3 linked regions of the Drosophila melanogaster genome follow. The gene in region 1 interacts genetically with each later gene. Each region holds a gene or a part of one and is shown on either strand. Other genes may lie near its edges.

Region 1 (4,450 bases):
TATCTATTTCCCAAATGAATTGTTAATTGAGAACTTAAAGATCAAAGTAGTTATACTTTAAAATATATTTTCAAGTATTTAAATTGGTAGAAAGTTACTTCTTCGTTAATTAATAAAGAATTGGTTTTCCTATTGGATCAAAGTTGGACCAACACGTTTGGCGCCAAAGAAATTTCGACTTATAACTAAGATTTAGAGGATTATCTAGGCTTGAAGTAATCCAACACATTTGGCCGTAATCATATAGTATAATATATACATTAAATGAATTTATACTAATTTTGAAACTATTTTCACCTTGCAGCTAGCAAAAGATCTTCTGCACCCTCTGCCCGCCGAGGAGAAGCGCAAGCACAAGCTGAAGCGCCTGGTCCAGCACCCCAACTCGTACTTCATGGACGTGAAGTGCCCCGGCTGCTACAGGATCACCACCGTCTTCAGCCACGCCCAAGGCGTCGTGGTCTGCGCTGGATGCGCTACCATTTTGTGCCAGCCGACTGGAGGACGCGCCAAGCTGACAGAAGGTATGCTCCAAATGCTCACTGTCCAATGTTCCTTCGCAATTAACCCAAACGATGTCTTTCTTTCAGGCTGCTCCTTCCGCAGGAAGCCACAGTAAAATGGGACTCGCGATGAACCACAAATTATTAATTTTTTAATAAAAACTCTAAAACGTAAAGAAACCACAGAACCCATACGAGAGAAAGCTTGTAATTCAATTGCTGCGGTCCTTTGGTTCATTGTGCTTTGTGAATTAAAGAATTAACGATGTTGTGGTCGGCTAAGTGAAAAAAAAAACAGTTCTTGTCGTATTTGTTTATAGAAAGTGGATAATTGCCAACAGGATAGATAGTGGAGCTCAATCGCTGGGGTTCCCCGATAAGAAACCGCCCATAATGGAAGCTCTTGTGTGTGCAAATACCCTTGTGCGGCAAAACTTCAGGAATTTTTCACTAGTTATGCTTAGATCTAACCATTGATTAACTTCACAACAATAAAGAATGTTTCATAGGCTCTAAATCGAGATTTTGTGAGGCTTCTAATGATTGGGCATTCAGCATTTTTTCAAGAATTTTGTAACCGACTCAAAAAATCTTTAGAATGGTTGGTTATTCGGATCGCATATACTTAGCTTGTTTGTCTTATTTTTATTTGGATGAGCGCCAAAATTTTGCTGCGTCAGTCTGGAAAAAATTGAATCAAATGTGTATAGTTTTATAGAAGTTGGGAAGCGGAATTTATTTATTTATTTAAATATTTATAATTAAAAAAATGAAAATAGTCACGTTGTTTAACTAGTCAGTATTCGAACCAACAAATGTAAAATGTATACTGGTTTGTGTCTAAGCTAAGCTTGTCATATTAACGGAGCTGCCAGATGTTAGGAAGTGGGGATGCCATACATTATTCTAAATTTGCGCGCAATTTTAGAAGCTTATCGTCGTCAGAATTACAAAAACAAATTGAATATGAAAATGGGTTATTGCTACTTCATTATTATTGTCACGATATATGATAATTTATACAAAATGTGATAAATCCCAAATTGTTAAATAATGCTTTGGCTTGCTTTATACAAAACCACTAGATAATTAAAATATAGGTGGCCTAAATTGTTGCATGTTGTTTTATAATTAATCAGCAATTTGATTTGGTTGTGATCGACCAAATCAGTGTGTATAATTGTAGTTAAAATGTAAAGTTCGTAATGGATTATTGAATCGCATTTCAAATTTCTTTAAATGCGCCCGGGTCAATGACCTTTTGAGGTGACCATAAATTGAAACTTATTTGTGCGACGGCAACCCTGTTCTGGGACTCGACATGATATCGATACGTTAACAACAAAGAGTCTGGACGCCATCATTCTTCCTCTTTCTCCTGAATTCGCAGACAGCGTGGCGTCAGGCATTTCAAACGGTAAAAAGAACCTGGCGATAAGGAAAGATTTAAAAGGCAAAAATCGAGTGATTTGTGTGATTTAACTTAAGAATAATGCTTAATGCACGTGACGTGTGTCCTGAGGGCAACGACGACCAGCAGTTGGACCACAATTTTAAGCAGATGGAGGAGCATTTGGCCTTAATGGTGGAAGGCAATGAAAACGAAGATCCGAGGAAAGCCACTTGTGAGTACGAGGATACGAACGAAGATGGTGCAACCTGCACATCGGGCGTTTTATCCGAAATCCAGGAGAACTTCGGTAGACTCCGGTTGTGTGACGTTACTGCACCACTCCTCGAATTCCACGGTTTGGATTGCTTGCAACAGATTCAAAAGCGCTCGCGCCATTTTGCATTCGACGGTTCTCCGGCCAAGAAGTCGCGATCCGGAGGCGTGTTGGTCACCGGGCCAAAGCAGAAGCAACTGCAGAAGGAAAATGTGTGGAACCGGAAGAGTAAAGGCTCTGCGTCCGCGGATAATATTGAGAAACTGCCCATAACTATTGAGAAACTGCATATGATTGGTCTGCACGGCGATTGGTGAGTCTTCTGGAGTATATCCCAAATATATCACATAATAAAAAGCTCCTTATCTAAACAATAGCTTAGAGCACAACGCCGTGCTGCGTTTGATGAATCTGTTCAGATCCCTGCATGATCACCTGACCGCCGATTTGGGCTTCTCGCGCCAAAACTCAATGCCCTCGGACTATCTGTTCGATATGCCGGTGAAGAGCACGATGCCTAAGAGCTTGAATGTGCGCTACCAACTGCAGGTGCTGTGCACCAAAGTAGAGCGCTTCCTTGTCCAGCAGCGCCGCACCTTGGAGGCGAATCGCCACTTCGATTTCGAGAAATACGACGAGTGTGACAAGTTGCTTAAGGGTTTCGCATCCTATTTGGACAACTTCAAACTGCTTTTAAAGCCCAAAATGCGCAATCGAAACGGAAACTCGGGGAGCAATGCGGACAAGTGTAAGCTGTAGATTTGCAAGCAACCATTCAGCTATTCCTGCAACGATTTTATTATTTACAGTCCATACTCAGCGCATGGAGAGATTGCTAATTGGTCTGCGCGATTGGATCAAGGCTGCGCATCTCAGTGTGCACGTATTTAACTGGGAAATGGATCTGGAGCACCGCTACTCCGGGGCCATGACCGAAAGCCACAAGTCGTTGAACGAGCGGGCCATCCTTTTGTCCGGTGCCGAGCTAAGGGCGGCCGAAGCGCGTGGAATCAGTGCGGAGGATCTGTTCATCGCCCAGAGATACAAACTGGGAGGTCCGATCTATTGCGTTCTGGAGCAGCATGAGTTCCTCTCCGCTCTGATCGCCAATCCAGAGACCTATTTCCCGCCCAGTGTTGTCGCCATTTGCGGGCCACAGAAGCTTGGCGCAGTGAGCATGGAGCAGCCGTCAGCGTCGGAGGAGGAGTTTGAGGAGACCGAGGAAGTGCCATCATCGCCACCTCGTCACACCGGACGTGTACCTCGCTTCAGAAGCTAAACTAATGCTGTGCACATCGATAAAAGAATGACAGCAAATATGCAATTTAAAAAAGCTACTCTTCTCATGGGAAGCAATAATTTCGTAAAGTAAACATATCTATAGTGTAAGATATATTTGTCCAATAGTGCGGACTCCATATTTGTATTCGTGAATAAGCTTATATAAGCTTTTTAAAAATATTTATCAAATCGATACAAACAAAATCAAAATGAAAACGATTTATTACCCCTGTTTTGAGATTGATAACAAATTTATATAAGTTTAACTGTGTTTACATTTATTTGGCAAAACTACAAATGTGTTTGCTTTTCACTTTTATAAATCTGTATTTTACTTAAACTTTAGAAATAAGAAATCCTTTAGTGCCTGAATTTATTTTGCAACTACGTTTTATTTGTATGAGGAACTTACCAGTTTTTCTTATTTGCTTTGCATTTGTATTTTGAAAGTCAAATAAATATTTACGATTTGTGTTTGGACTAATTAGGGTGTTTGTACTAAGGTCTTAGACTACAAAGAGCTGTTCGAGCGGCAGTTTGCCAAAGATCCTGTCCACCACCGACTTGGCTATCAGTCCGAAGGCCTCGCCAATGCCCGGTTTCAGTTCATTGAAGATGTCCTTCCAGTTCTCATTGATAAGCGCGTGCATGTTCTCGCTGAGATCTTTCTGGCCGTTGAACAGATTTTCCAGCTGGTAGGTCACATGGGATGGATCCAGCTCAACCTTTATGTTCATCACCTCGGCGTAGGTTTGATGATCGCCCTTGGAGACGCGCTTCAATTTGATCTGTGCACGTACCTTTGTTCTAGCTGCGAATTCCAGAAACACATTAAAAATTTTAGATTTCAAAGCTGTGGGAGGCAAATCTTACTGAGGCGTATGTCAGCAATGCCATTTCCGGTGATGGGCAGAATGAGTATTCTTCCGTCCACCGAGTAGGGTCCTCTGACTCCTATTTCTGGAACTTCCATGACCAGCTCGATGGAGCGGCTGAGAT
Region 2 (5,320 bases), on another chromosome or scaffold:
TCAAGTGGCATTTTCAGCGCTCGTTGGCTGTCAGTTTCGAGTATCTTAAAGATACTTTTTTGACCAATCGGAATTCATTGGTTCAGTAAGCATATTCGGCGACTGGGTGTCTGAAATCTGGTTTCGATCATCTTATCTTGATGGTATAACTAGCATTTAGATACCCATTTTTCTTCATAATTCTTAATTTTATTTGTTGCATAATTTATGAAAATAGTACGAAAAAGTACAATTTTTTATACAGGTTCTGTATAAGTTACAAGGTACCCATTAGTCGAAACCTTATTTATCGAACTTTATAACCTAACCACTTGACTATGATTTATTTACAATTAAGCATCTTTGAGCGCTTCAATTACTTTTTACTTCCAATTAATGCAAAGTATACTGCCTAAGGTTTAACTTTGACTCCGGGTTTCCTGTAGATCGGCGGAAGTTTTTTTGTTTAGACATGCGCCAAGCACTTGAAGTCCGCAATTGACTGCTGCATAATTAGATGCGATGCGATTGGAATAGAGGATGCGATGGGTAATCACATCAACACTTGGACAGGCGATCAAGTGTCAGTTCAATAAGACCGGCTCAAGTGTAATTAGAGACCACGGATCTTGGGTTTCGGGAAGGGATCTTGGGTTTTCGGATCATCGATCCAACGATCGTGCCGAGCTCTTGAAAGCCGCTTATTAGGCATTTACAAGGGCAACTGCGCAGTTGATCGGTTACAAAATGACTTAACTATTTAAATAATAAACACGCTTCACGTTTCTCAGGCTAAGTTCGTAAGCATCTTCAATTTTCGGATTGCGTCTCAACTGCAACAGTCTATTTTGAAAGTCAAGCGTTTCTAAAAGCGCCACATCATCAGCGGTAATATTATCCATCCCTCATAAATATTCCCATGTTGTTTTGGGATCTTTTGGCTATTTTTAAAGCAGACAAAGGCGAGCCAATAATGTGTGGAAAGAATTTTGGTTGGATTCAAATACGAAGCAGCTTTGGTAACAACTAAGGTTCTGGGTTAGTCATGATTCACCAACAGGTTAGACTTAGTTTTGTGGCAAAATTTAACCAATGACGTCCAAGTTCTAACTAAAGTAATATCGTTACTTTGTTATTTTATTTTTGGATATTCTCGAAAGTTTCTGGAATTCTCAAGAAAACTTAAACAATATAGAGTCGCATTATATGGAAAACTCATTGATTCATTCTTATGTTTGTTATTTTGTTATTAAATTCCAATTGATGATGCCAGTGTCTAAATAAAAACGAAGACCTAATTTTCAACCAAAAATCAGGTTTTCTGGGCTTGTCCGTATTAAACATTTTTGATAATTATTTATAATATATTGTTATTTTTTGCTGGCTTCAAAACATCAACAAATTGTGTATGATAAATGACGATGACGTTGTTGTTGATGGCGATCGCGCTGTGGGAATCAGATGAAATGTCAATTAAGTTTGCATTTATATCTTTGATTGAAGCTCTAAGATTTGCTTTGCCATTTTATGCGGAAGTTAAGCTCGGTCAGTTCTTGAAAAAGTTCCCATGGGAGCAAGTTATTTGTTTTTTGACAATAAGAAGCGTTTATTTAAAATGGCTTATTATGGCCTCAATGATTCCTAATAGGCGTAACTTACTGGTTATAAACTTGTTTAATATCGTTTCATTTTAAACCTGGATGACAGAAAATGAATTTCGGTTCAAATACAAATATTACAATAGAAAGTATGATATTTAGCTCCGATAAACATTTAACAATTTTAGTATTTTAATGGTGAAATGGTAAATTCCGCGCATGAAAAGAGATAGAAGAGATGACATATATGGAAACCTTAAAAACGTAACGGTTGCTTGGGTTTTATAACAATCAGTCAGTGACAGGCATTTCCAGAGTTGCCCTGTTCAACAATCGATAGCTGCCTTCGGTCGCTCGTCACTAACTTTCCTTTAGGCAACGGCCACACTGTCTGGCCACCAAAATCCCAAACTTAATTAAAGAATTAAATAATTCGAATAATAATTAAGCCCAGTAACCTACGCAGCTTGAGTGCGTAACCGATATCTAGTATACATTTCGATACATCGAAATCATGGTAGTGTTGGAGACGGAGAAGGTAAGGCGAGAAACGGCGAGCCGCATGGTTTCGATTTCGGCTGAGCCGTGGCAGGAACAACAAAAACAGGGTTGTTGCACAAGAGGGGAGGCGATAGTCGAGCGGAAAAGTGTGCAGTTGGCGTGGCTACATCATCATTGTGTTCACCGATTATTTTTTGCACAATTGCTTAATATTAATTGTACTTGCACGCTATTGTCTACGTCATAGCTATCGCTATCTCTGTCTGTCTCTATCAAGCTATCTCTCTTTCGCGGTCACTCGTTCTCTTTTTCTCTCCTTTCGCATTTGCATACGCATACCACACGTTTTCAGTGTTCTCGCTCTCTCTCTCTTGTCAAGACATCGCGCGCGTGTGTGTGGGTGTGTTCTTCTTTAGCTACATATACATAAATAGGAGAGCGGAGAGACAAATATGGAAAGAATGGAAAAAGAGTGAATTACTGCAATTAACCAGTCGCGAACAGTTAAATCATATTTTTGTCGGCCATTGCAGTAAATAAACCGTTGGCTTTCCCTCTTCACTTTCCACCTCCTTTCTTTGACGTTAATTTTTTTCAGTTAATCGCGCCGCTGCTTTGAACTCGAACACGAATTTTAGCCGCAACATAAAATAAAATCAAGTAACTCTTTTAACTCAAATATAAAACAACAATTCCAATTCTTTCAACAGGCAATCTGTGTTTTTATGTCAGATACGTGCGCGTGTGTGTGTGTGCTGTAATTCCATCGCCCCTTTCGATTCCGAGTTCGTTAGGAACAGCATTAGTTCGCCTATTTTAGTAGTAGCCTAGTCCGATTTTAAGTGAAACAGGATACTCCAACACCATATACTCAATAATTAGTTACAACACCCACTCAACCATACAGCAACAACAAGTTTAACGAGTTTTTTGTATTATCATTACTTAGTTTTTTGGTTAATAATACACAAGTGAAGAGCGAACTGCAGGGGAGCGAGATATCACGAAACAATCCAAAATCCACACACACTCAAACAGAAATCAAAAGCTTCGCTCTCTCGCACACACACGCACCAACCAACTATCAACTATCACAAACACCGCGACAGAGAGAGAGCGGCAAGTGAATCACGGCGAATCGAAACCGATCCGAACCCACTCCGGAGCCGAAAAAGAACTGATCCTACCATCAAACGCATCCAATAAACACGGCCGCCAACATGCAGAGCGACTTTCACAGAATGAAGAACTTTGCCAATCCCAAGTCCATGTTCAAAGTAATACTCTCAGTGCGCCTGTCGCTAAGCCAAGCTAATCTAATCTTCTGATTCCCCTTCCCATCCATTGCCATCTTCTCCCGCAGACCAGCGCCCCCAGCACCGAGCAGGGTCGTCCGGAACCACCAACTTCGGCTGCAGCGCCCGCCGAGGCTAAGGATGTCAAGCCCAAGGAGGACCCACAGGAGACTGGTGAACCAGCAGGCAACACTGCAACCACTACTGCTCCTGCCGGCGACGATGCTGTGCGCACCGAGCATTTATACAAACACCCGCTCATGAATGTCTGGACGCTGTGGTACCTTGAAAACGATCGGTCCAAGTCCTGGGAGGACATGCAAAACGAGATCACCAGCTTCGATACCGTCGAGGACTTCTGGAGCCTATACAACCACATCAAGCCCCCATCAGAGATCAAGCTGGGTAGTGACTACTCGCTATTCAAGAAGAACATTCGGTGGGTTTGCTGTTTATTGCAATTCTGCCAAGATAACCTTTACTAACTGATATCTCATTTGCAGTCCCATGTGGGAGGATGCAGCCAACAAACAGGGCGGTCGTTGGGTCATTACCCTTAACAAAAGCTCCAAGACCGATCTGGATAACCTATGGCTCGATGTGGTAAGTGCACAAAGAAACGAGTGGTGAGCGGATGGTCTATTTATAGTGAATGTACATTCTTGAAATGCAAAAATATAGAAATAGGTGTATGATTTTGCAATATAAATTATAACTTATAGAAAATATCAGCTAAAAATACGCTAGTGCTAGCTTTTGTCTTAGGAACATTCAATAGTGAGCTTATATCATAAATATTTTTCGCATATGAGTAACTACAACTGTTTTGCCTTCCAGCTGCTCTGCCTGATTGGTGAGGCCTTCGATCACTCTGATCAGATCTGCGGCGCTGTTATAAACATTCGCGGCAAGAGCAACAAGATATGTAAGTTTTCACGCACACCCAACTTCAGCGGAATTCCTTTGTTTAACGATTAATGCTTTCCAGCCATCTGGACTGCCGACGGAAACAACGAGGAAGCTGCCCTTGAGATTGGTCACAAGCTGCGCGATGCCCTGCGTCTGGGACGCAACAACTCGCTGCAGTATCAGTTGCACAAGGACACGATGGTCAAGCAGGGCTCCAACGTGAAATCGATCTACACTTTGTAGGCGGCTAATAACTGGCCGCTCCTTATTCGGTCCGATCCCACACTGATTATTTTGTCTTTCATTTATTTATCGTTATAAGCAACAGTAGCGATTAATCGTGACTATTGTCTAAGACCCGCGTAACGAAACCGAAACGGAACCCCCTTTGTTATCAAAAATCGGCATAATATAAAATCTATCCGCTTTTTGTAGTCACTGTCAATAATGGATTAGACGGAAAAGTATATTAATAAAAACCTACATTAAAACCGGATACTTTTGATCTTTGATTTTGGAGATATTTTAAAATAGAAAAAAGTTAACCTATATTGTTTTTGGGATAATTACTTGTTGTATTACTAAAACGAGCTTGTATCCTAATATGGGCACCTAAAGCAAAACTTCCAAATTTGGAATTCAATTTGTTGCTAAAAATACGTTAGCAATTTCTAGGGTGGCCAAAAAAAAATGTGTATCGATATATCGATAGGTTTCCTAAATAGACATTAAAATAATTTTAGCTTTTTACTTATATTGTTAGAGTAAATACGTTTGTATTTAAAAAATAAGTCAGTATTTTTTTTTTATTAACCTATTATTGAATTTTATATGAGTGAGAGCTTTTCCATTCAGCCAAGAACGGTCACACTGCATGTGACATGTTTCAATTGTGTAGGCGCAGTCACACTGGTCGCGTCGCTCGTAGATATCGTGTAAGGATATGTCTCCGTGTTTAGCTAAATAAAATACATAAAATATATGTGCAATTCTAACAAGCATAGCCATTTAGCGTAGAGTAGTGGAACGAACAGCTCG
Region 3 (7,888 bases), on another chromosome or scaffold:
GTGTTAAAAGCTTTAAGTTTGTACAGTCACAGAAAAATTAAAATCTATTTGCACGAATCATCTGTTGATTGGAGCCTTAATCTTCCGGTTCCGAAGGGCAAGAGGAACATTCAGTTCATTAACGGCTATTTAAAGAGTCCCATATTGATGAACAAAGATACTAATGAATTAGATTAATTACAAACGAACAGCATTTTTTGTTAGTTAATAAAAAAACGTTTGACTTTCGCCAAATATTGCCTTACTATATTGGTAATTATTATTTGACCCTGTAAGGTATTTTATGTATATTTCCAGAGCTGCTGGGGCCAACGATATTATACAATTGTGTAACTGCTAGTCGGTTGTCCTGCTACCTGGTCTCCAGGACATCGAGATCGCAAAGGTCAGCATTTGTGTGCAGGATCAGAATGTTGGTTAGCTCATTGTGTTCGTACTTCTTTGGGTTCCTAACTGATTTAGTTTTTAGGCCGGCAGTTGCGAAATGTCTCGTGCAAAACAATGCAAAATCCGATACACCTTTTCTTTATTTTCTTAGGGAGGCGCAGCTGCTCTAGAAAACATACTCTTCCGTTCACAAAATAATCGTGGCAAGAGTCATACATACATACATGTATGTACAATGCTGAATTAAGTCAAAAACAATACATATTTAATAGTTATGACAAATATTTAAGCCACCACGTTATGTTGTTATATTCTTAAACTTAAAAGGGTTAAGAAATCAGGATACATATTTTTTAAGAAGATTAGAAATCAAAACAATTACCATAACTGTTAACAAATTCACCTATTATTTATTATAATGAATGTTATATTTGTATTTTCTATAAATATCTCACAGCCCCTCCCATTAGAAATTCATAGGGAAGACGTATGGCGTATTTCGTTATATCTTTCTAATCGTGAAAGTCATCCGAATTGATAAATATATATACTTTTGTATTTACACTAACATATTTTTTATAAATGGGTAGCATCGTTAGGCGTATTGAAAAGAAAAAGTTTCGCTTAACTTTTTTTGGGTTTTCCACTGACAGCCAAATAATAATAATCGCAGTAGCCGAAATAAAGCTCTTTAAAAAGTTAATTAGAGAGTTGCTGCTCTTAAATTTAACGCGGTGGTTGTTGTTAATTGTGTACTTTCTGTTGCATGCAGTTCATAATTTGTTCAAAACTTCGAGCGGCCACTTTGTTTGAAAGGACTTTCGAAAAGGGGAAAAGTTTTTTTTCCTGTTTCGATTTATTTCTGGGACAGAAACGATTTTTGGAGCCACTCGAGACCGAAAGTCCAAAAGCCTAGCCATTTTTTTTAATTGTAACCTAAACATTTTTCCAAGTGTCCTAATACGTCGATTATTTAAACATTTCATCAAAAACATTACGCTTTCTATTTAATTATATTTTGATAAACAGTTGTTTAATTGATTTTTGTCAAGTTCGCTTTGCAGTGAATTCTTAATCTTAATCAAAGCAACAGTAATAACAACTTAAGCGATTACCGTGGACATAATATATGGATTATATATATGGATATAATACATATATATTCGATTAACTTCAAAACAATGCTTACAAACCCATGAAGAACTTATTCCAAACCCTTTTTATAAACCTTTAATATGTATTATTGGTTTGATCTCTAAAGCTTAGAACTAAATAAATATGCACTCATTTTTAAAAACTATGCAAAAACAATGGACTTCGGCAAAAATAAAAATTAACGTTATACACATTTTTAAATTTTGCGCACTGCTGGAGTTGCCAGTCCTAAAAAACAAACTTCTGACATATATGGCCACACTGTCGGCAAATGTCGATAGACGCCACGACCTATCGATAGCTGGACAGTGTCATCTCTAACATTTACGACGTGTTGACCGGGAAAAAATCAAAAGAAGCCAGCAATTGCTTTTAAACCACGAACCGCTGAACAAGTACGGAGTTTGTAAAATACTTAATATTAGCTAAGTCCGTGCGAGCGTAGCCAAACAAGGAAACTAATTCCAACGCTGCCGTGACACAAACTTCCGTACGAAATTGAAAGTCAAATGAATTCTGTACAAAACTGTGTGTGTGCGTGTAATTCAAGCGTCAATTTGTCGATGATAAAATTTGCCTGCGCCTAATGTACACATGTCTGCGTCTTCGTTGAGCATATGAGCCTGTGAATGTGTGCGTATCGGTGTGAGCGTCGAGCATAAGAAAGCAGCACAAAACAACAACAACGGCAGCAGCAGTAACAACAACAGCAAGAAGGCAACGACGCTAAGAGAAAGAGAGAAGGAAGGGAAGAGCAGAGCATAATCGGACTCCATTTTACAAGGCGAAAAAAGGAGTAGGAAAGAGCGCACCATGGCCAGTTTCCAGATCCACCAAGACATGAGCAACAAGGAGAATCCGGGCATTAAGATTCCGGCCGGAGTGAAGAACACCAAGCAGCCGCTGGCCGTAATTGGGGGAAAAGCGGAGAAAAATGCGCTTGCGCCGCGGGCCAATTTCGCCGTGCTCAATGGCAACAACAATGTGCCGCGTCCGGCCGGGAAAGTTGTAAGTACCGTTGCCGATTTCCCGTACATCCAGTGCCTAATTCCAATGCAGCTGCCTTTTTATATTTTTATGGTGGTGGGATCGTCACACCACTGCGACCGTGCGCATGTGTGAGATCTCCTAGTGGTGGTGGTGGTTTTCTCTCCCTTACCTCTCCCCTACCATCCCATCCTTTTCACTTCTCCATCTTACGTTACTCTCTTCTTAGAACGACCAATGCACTTACTTGCGCCTAACCTAGAACCTTAACTAACCTAGAAAAAGACACAGGCCTTGCAATTACGCGCCTTTTTGATGATTTGCAACAACAAAGCGAAGCAAGGAGGGCAAAAGCAATTGCGACATGCAACGCACACATGCGTATAGGTGCACACATACACACACACACGAGCAATACGGGAAGCCAGGGAAAGGCGCGCAACTTAAAGTTGGATCGATTTATGGGGGGGGATAATCATTTTATTTCTTTTTTGCTTACTATATTAAGGATGCATATGTAAAAGGAATTATCTTTGTGTTTTTACTTTTATAATCCCACTGCAATATTACCTAATATAAAATTATTACCTAATATAGTAAGTTGACCATATTGTTGAATTTGTCTTCTTCGTCTTCTGTTCCTTCCAGCAGGTCTTCCGTGACGTCAGAAATCTTAATGTTGATGAGAATGTGGAGTACGGCGCCAAGAAATCGAATGTGGTGCCCGTGGTGGAGCAATTCAAGACCTTCTCCGTGTATGAGGACAACAACGATACCCAGGTTGCGCCATCCGGCAAATCCCTGGCCTCCCTAGTCGACAAAGAGAACCATGACGTGAAATTGTAAGTTTCCATCTGTCACTTGGTAAGCCGCAAACAAACTTTTGTTTGTTTTTTTTTTCACTCCATTCAGCGGTGCTGGGCAGAAGGAGCTGGTAGACTACGATCTGGATTCAACACCCATGTCCGTGACGGATGTTCAGTCCCCCATGTCCGTGGACCGCTCCATTCTCGGTGTCATACAGTCCAGTGATATCAGCGTGGGCACTGAAACGGGAGTCTCGCCAACTGGAAGAGTCAAGGAGCTTCCGCCGCGCAACGATCGCCAGCGGTTCCTGGAAGTGGTTCAGTACCAGATGGACATTCTGGAATATTTCCGGGAGAGCGAGGTAAGCTAAACCAGGGACATAAACATAGGCTTCAATATGATATTATTAGATGACTTCCTCACAAAAATATTTCAAACTCACAAACTCGCTTTCATCGCGTAATCATTGTCAAAGACAATGATATTTTTTAACTAGTAACTGAAGTGGACAACTTTTATCAGGTCGAGTTTTCCTTGATTATCTTCCAGGGTATTGCAGTCATGTTTTCTGGCATAAATTTGGAATTTTTTCCCAAGGTATCTTGCGTTTTCAATGTGTTACTACTTACTTGGCCATGTGCATTGTACTTTTCTGTGCAGACGCAGGCAGACGTAATTTCTTAGGGGAAGTCGGACCCTGTCGCACCCTCCGTTGGCATTCCCTTCACGCAACGCTGCCTCTTTATGGGTTCATGGGTACACTTATTCCCGCTCGCGGGCACATGTTTGTTGGGCGGGAAGCGAAACGCTTGTCTGTCTGCGTCCGTCTCATCCTTTGTCGTTGTTGTTGACTCTCTTTTTCTCATTCGTCCAAAGTCGTAGAACACTCGGGGTACCAATGGAATTCGACTTGCAGAGGGAGGTTGACTACTATTGTAGTTTGTTTCCTACGTTAGTAAATAAAAGATTAAAAATTAAAATAAGTTTAAAAACTAAAAAAAAAATTAAAACCAAAAAAGTTTTAAAATTGATAAAGAATTTAAAAAACTAGAAAACCAAAACAAATAAAAAAAATTTAAAAATATTTTAAAATCGATAGTTAAATTACAAAACTCGAAAACAACATTAAATAATACAAAACAACAACACAAGGATTAGGTTTTGTCCAGAATGGGCGTATTCTTTATTTTCCCTTGATATTTCAGTTTTTACTAGAGATGGGTTTTTGTCTTTTTTTTTTTTTAAATTTTTAAATATTTGAAATGCTTTGTTTCCAACATGAACATTATAATTTCGTCGTGAAGATTCCCAACAAAGATTGTATTTTTAAAATAGTACAATGTTCTGGACGCCTATGGAAAGTTGCTGCACAAGAAAGTGAGGCAGCTTTCTAATCGCATCCAGCTCATTATTCTCGAATCGTCTTGGTTGGGAACTTCAATACAATCCCACTAACGTGAGTTCTTGTTGAACTGATCGTAAAAGTCATCGGAGACGGCATTGGTTAGGCCCACAAGGGCTTCCTTGCGCTGGCGATCCTGCTCCACGGCCAACTTGGAATTCGCCCGCATCAGCTCATCGAATTCCGCCTTACGTCGGCGATCATCCTCGATTTGGTGAAGGACCAGGGTGCGGTCCATATTAATGGAGTATTGCTCCCACTGTTTGTCCATCATCTGGGCCTCCGTCTTGCGCTGAATAGACAAACGAAGCTGCTGATCTTGTCCAAGACGAAACACGCGAAGTTCTTCGGGCGTCATGCCGCGATACATGAAGGCAATCTTCTTGTTCGGATCGGTGCGCGATTGAGCCACATCCGGATTTTCAGTTAGCATATCGCTGGAGAGCATGTTATAGATCTCGGCCATGTCATCCTCGTACTTTTCACGCTTTTCCCTTTCGCGGTCCAATTGCTTCTGCTTGGCCATGTTGATATTGAACTGACGCACTCGCTGGATGACTTGGTTGCGCATCTGGTGATCAGACTTGGCCATCTCCTGCAGATGCTTGTCTCTGCAACCAACGTTGTCCATCAACACATTATCGGCCTGCTTGCGAGCATCCTCCGCCCTCTTACGCTCCTGCACTTGCTGATCCAGCCAGGCTCTTTGCTGCTCCCGCTGCCGCTGCTTTCTGTCAGAGTTATAGAGGTCCTCGCCTTGAAAGATCTGGGCACTGGACACGCCCAGCGAAATGTCATTGTCGGCGACTCTTGTTGGACGTGCCTTCTTCAAGAAATTCGGATCATTTAGGTCGAATTCGCGGCGCTGCTCCTTGCGCTGATAGCGGCAGCGATAATAGTTAAGATCCGAGTCCACCACACGCTGTTTTTTCTCCAACTCCATTTCCTGGGCCAGGATCAGACGCTTCTGCAGCTGCTCCTGTTCTTCAAATTTCTTGTCGCACTCCATCTGGGCGGTTCGCTGCTTCTTTTTCTCAAGTATTTGGCGATCCAGCATTTCTAGGTCGAGCTGTGAATAGGAATATTCGGCAATGAAGCTCACCCAGTCTGCAGATGCATACTTACCCCGTAAAGACGCTGTTTGGCATTAAAAATGCGCCGCTTCCGCTCATCTTCGTACTGCTCCCGCTTCTGCAGCTTCATCGCCTCGTCGAGATCCTGCTTGGTGCATATACCGATTTTGAGCGTCATTGTGCCGGAGTTAGTTATAAAAGATGTTCAACTGTATTCGAGGTCGATATGTCTGTCTCTTCTTGTTAGTAGGATGTGGATATATGCCTGAGTTGACTTTGTTTGCCCGGTTGCTGGGTGCTTTGTTTATTGTTTGCCTCTACTACTACCTCTGTAACCTACTAGTTACAGACTATTTACATATATCTATAATAATTTCATGGGAGTTAACTGCCTTAATATAAAACAAATGCTGATGTATGTACATATATTCATGTCAATCGAATTCTTTAATTTTTGCAGCTCGAGTCGCTTGACGGTTCCAATAATCGTTAAAGCGACCATAAAATAATCACCTAATGTACATATTGCCCATATATATGTACATATATGTAGGTGTTTGGCAAAGAAATTTAAGTTCGAACTGGGAATTTCGATGCGACTCACGTACTACGAAATAACCAATAAATAAATAAAAATCGGTTAACTCCCTCCCCCAGCTGTTGTTTGCCACTTCTCCTATGGTATTTATACGCTTGATTTGATGACTGTACGGCTTTTTCTCCCGTGAAATTTGTACATTTTTGACACCTTCTTAAGATGAAACTGGGAACGGGTAGTTGGTTGCCAGATTAGAGTGTAGAAAAGGCATAAGCTATATATATGCGAATCCTAACCTAAAGTATTAAAAGTTTGGCTTAGTAATTTTTGTTAGGCCGGGTAATCTAATCGGTTTCTAATCATTTGTTTGCATGTGTTTGCATCTTCCAGAAGAAACATCGCCCCAAGCCACTCTATATGCGCAGACAGAAGGACATTAGCCACAATATGCGCTCCATCCTTATTGATTGGCTGGTTGAGGTTTCCGAGGAGTACAAACTGGACACGGAGACGCTCTATCTCTCGGTCTTTTATCTAGATCGATTTTTGAGCCAAATGGCGGTGGTGCGCTCCAAGTTACAGCTGGTGGGCACGGCAGCTATGTATATTGCCGCGTAAGTATTCTTGATAGTCCGGTAATAATGGTGTGTGTATTCATGGGGTTTATTTTTTTATTTTTCAGAAAATACGAGGAAATCTATCCCCCAGAGGTCGGTGAGTTTGTCTTCCTCACCGACGACAGTTACACCAAGGCGCAGGTGCTACGCATGGAGCAGGTTATCTTGAAGATTCTCTCCTTCGATCTGTGCACACCGACTGCTTACGTCTTCATCAACACCTATGCTGTACTTTGCGACATGCCTGAGAAGCTGAAGTACATGACGCTGGTAAGCTATTGCCAATACAAAAGAAAAAAGAAACAAAGCCGAAACTTAACTTAATGTTTACCTGACACAGTATATTTCCGAGTTGTCGCTCATGGAGGGAGAAACGTACTTGCAATATTTGCCATCACTTATGTCATCCGCTTCAGTCGCACTGGCGCGTCACATTTTGGGCATGGAGATGTGGACGCCAAGGCTGGAGGAGATCACGACTTACAAGCTGGAGGACCTAAAAACGGTTGTGTTGCATCTGTGTCACACCCACAAAACGGCAAAGGAGCTCAACACGCAGGCCATGCGGGAAAAGTACAATAGAGACACGTAAGTCGCAAACACTAGATAGCCGAAGAATGAGCCCGTGTTGACCAAATGTATTTCTTAACAGTTACAAGAAGGTGGCTATGATGGAATCCGTTGAGATGAGCAAGGACGACTTCGATCAGCTCTGTGAGGCTTACAATTGCAAGCAGAAAGAGGATGAGCACCAGCAGCCGGATATTAATACTAAATCGAACGTGAATTTGTTTTATAAGTTTTAAGTGTTTTGAGCCGCTGTCATGGCCAAATTGTATATTAGTTTAGTGTTTCCATGTAACATTATGTAGTTTTAGTTATAAGTGTACACAATGGATCAATTGCAGTTCGGTCGCAGTCA

What was found. Genes that interact genetically often act in the same process or in processes that back each other up.
Region 2: of bam (region 1) and eIF4E1, changing one suppresses a phenotype caused by changing the other (phenotypic suppression), as found in Drosophila melanogaster (one study listed by BioGRID).
Region 3: of bam (region 1) and CycA, changing one suppresses a phenotype caused by changing the other (phenotypic suppression), as found in Drosophila melanogaster (one study listed by BioGRID).

The regions. Positions count from the first base shown.
Region 1 is NT_033777.3:25,242,522-25,246,971, reverse strand, and holds bam (bag of marbles), read left to right. Parts: upstream 1-1,862; 5' UTR 1,863-1,995; coding exon 1,996-2,483; intron 2,484-2,547; coding exon 2,548-2,918; intron 2,919-2,979; coding exon 2,980-3,449; 3' UTR 3,450-3,933; downstream 3,934-4,450. Other genes in the region: RpS27 (ribosomal protein S27), read left to right, coding at 305-524, 591-619; CG11854 (uncharacterized protein), read right to left, coding at 3,958-4,262, 4,325-4,450. UniProt on the Drosophila melanogaster protein: Regulatory component of a deubiquitinase complex consisting of bam and otu. The complex deubiquitinates K63-linked polyubiquitinated proteins, antagonizing the ubiquitination activity of Traf6 and regulating the IMD immune signaling pathway.
Region 2 is NT_037436.4:9,399,075-9,404,394, reverse strand, and holds eIF4E1 (eukaryotic translation initiation factor 4E1), read left to right. Parts: upstream 1-1,934; 5' UTR 1,935-2,091; coding exon of another isoform or gene 2,092-2,115; exon of another isoform or gene 2,116-2,478; intron 2,479-2,589; exon of another isoform or gene 2,590-2,738; intron 2,739-2,788; 5' UTR 2,789-3,298; coding exon 3,299-3,355; intron 3,356-3,441; coding exon 3,442-3,812; intron 3,813-3,876; coding exon 3,877-3,976; intron 3,977-4,210; coding exon 4,211-4,298; intron 4,299-4,361; coding exon 4,362-4,525; 3' UTR 4,526-4,777; downstream 4,778-5,320. UniProt on the Drosophila melanogaster protein: Recognizes and binds the 7-methylguanosine (m7G)-containing mRNA cap during an early step in the initiation of protein synthesis and facilitates ribosome binding by inducing the unwinding of the mRNAs secondary structures.
Region 3 is NT_037436.4:11,827,536-11,835,423, reverse strand, and holds the start of CycA (cyclin A), read left to right. Parts: upstream 1-1,845; 5' UTR 1,846-2,355; coding exon 2,356-2,550; intron 2,551-3,177; coding exon 3,178-3,371; intron 3,372-3,441; coding exon 3,442-3,697; intron 3,698-4,579; exon of another isoform or gene 4,580-4,787; coding exon of another isoform or gene 4,788-5,807; intron 5,808-5,863; coding exon of another isoform or gene 5,864-5,989; exon of another isoform or gene 5,990-6,175; intron 6,176-6,234; exon of another isoform or gene 6,235-6,394; intron 6,395-6,739; coding exon 6,740-6,963; intron 6,964-7,031; coding exon 7,032-7,236; intron 7,237-7,306; coding exon 7,307-7,554; intron 7,555-7,618; coding exon 7,619-7,772; 3' UTR 7,773-7,888. Other genes in the region: CG43064 (uncharacterized protein), read left to right, coding at 1-177; CG7264 (uncharacterized protein), read right to left, coding at 4,788-5,807, 5,864-5,989. UniProt on the Drosophila melanogaster protein: Essential for the control of the cell cycle at the G2/M (mitosis) transition. Interacts with the Cdk1 and Cdk2 protein kinases to form MPF. G2/M cyclins accumulate steadily during G2 and are abruptly destroyed at mitosis.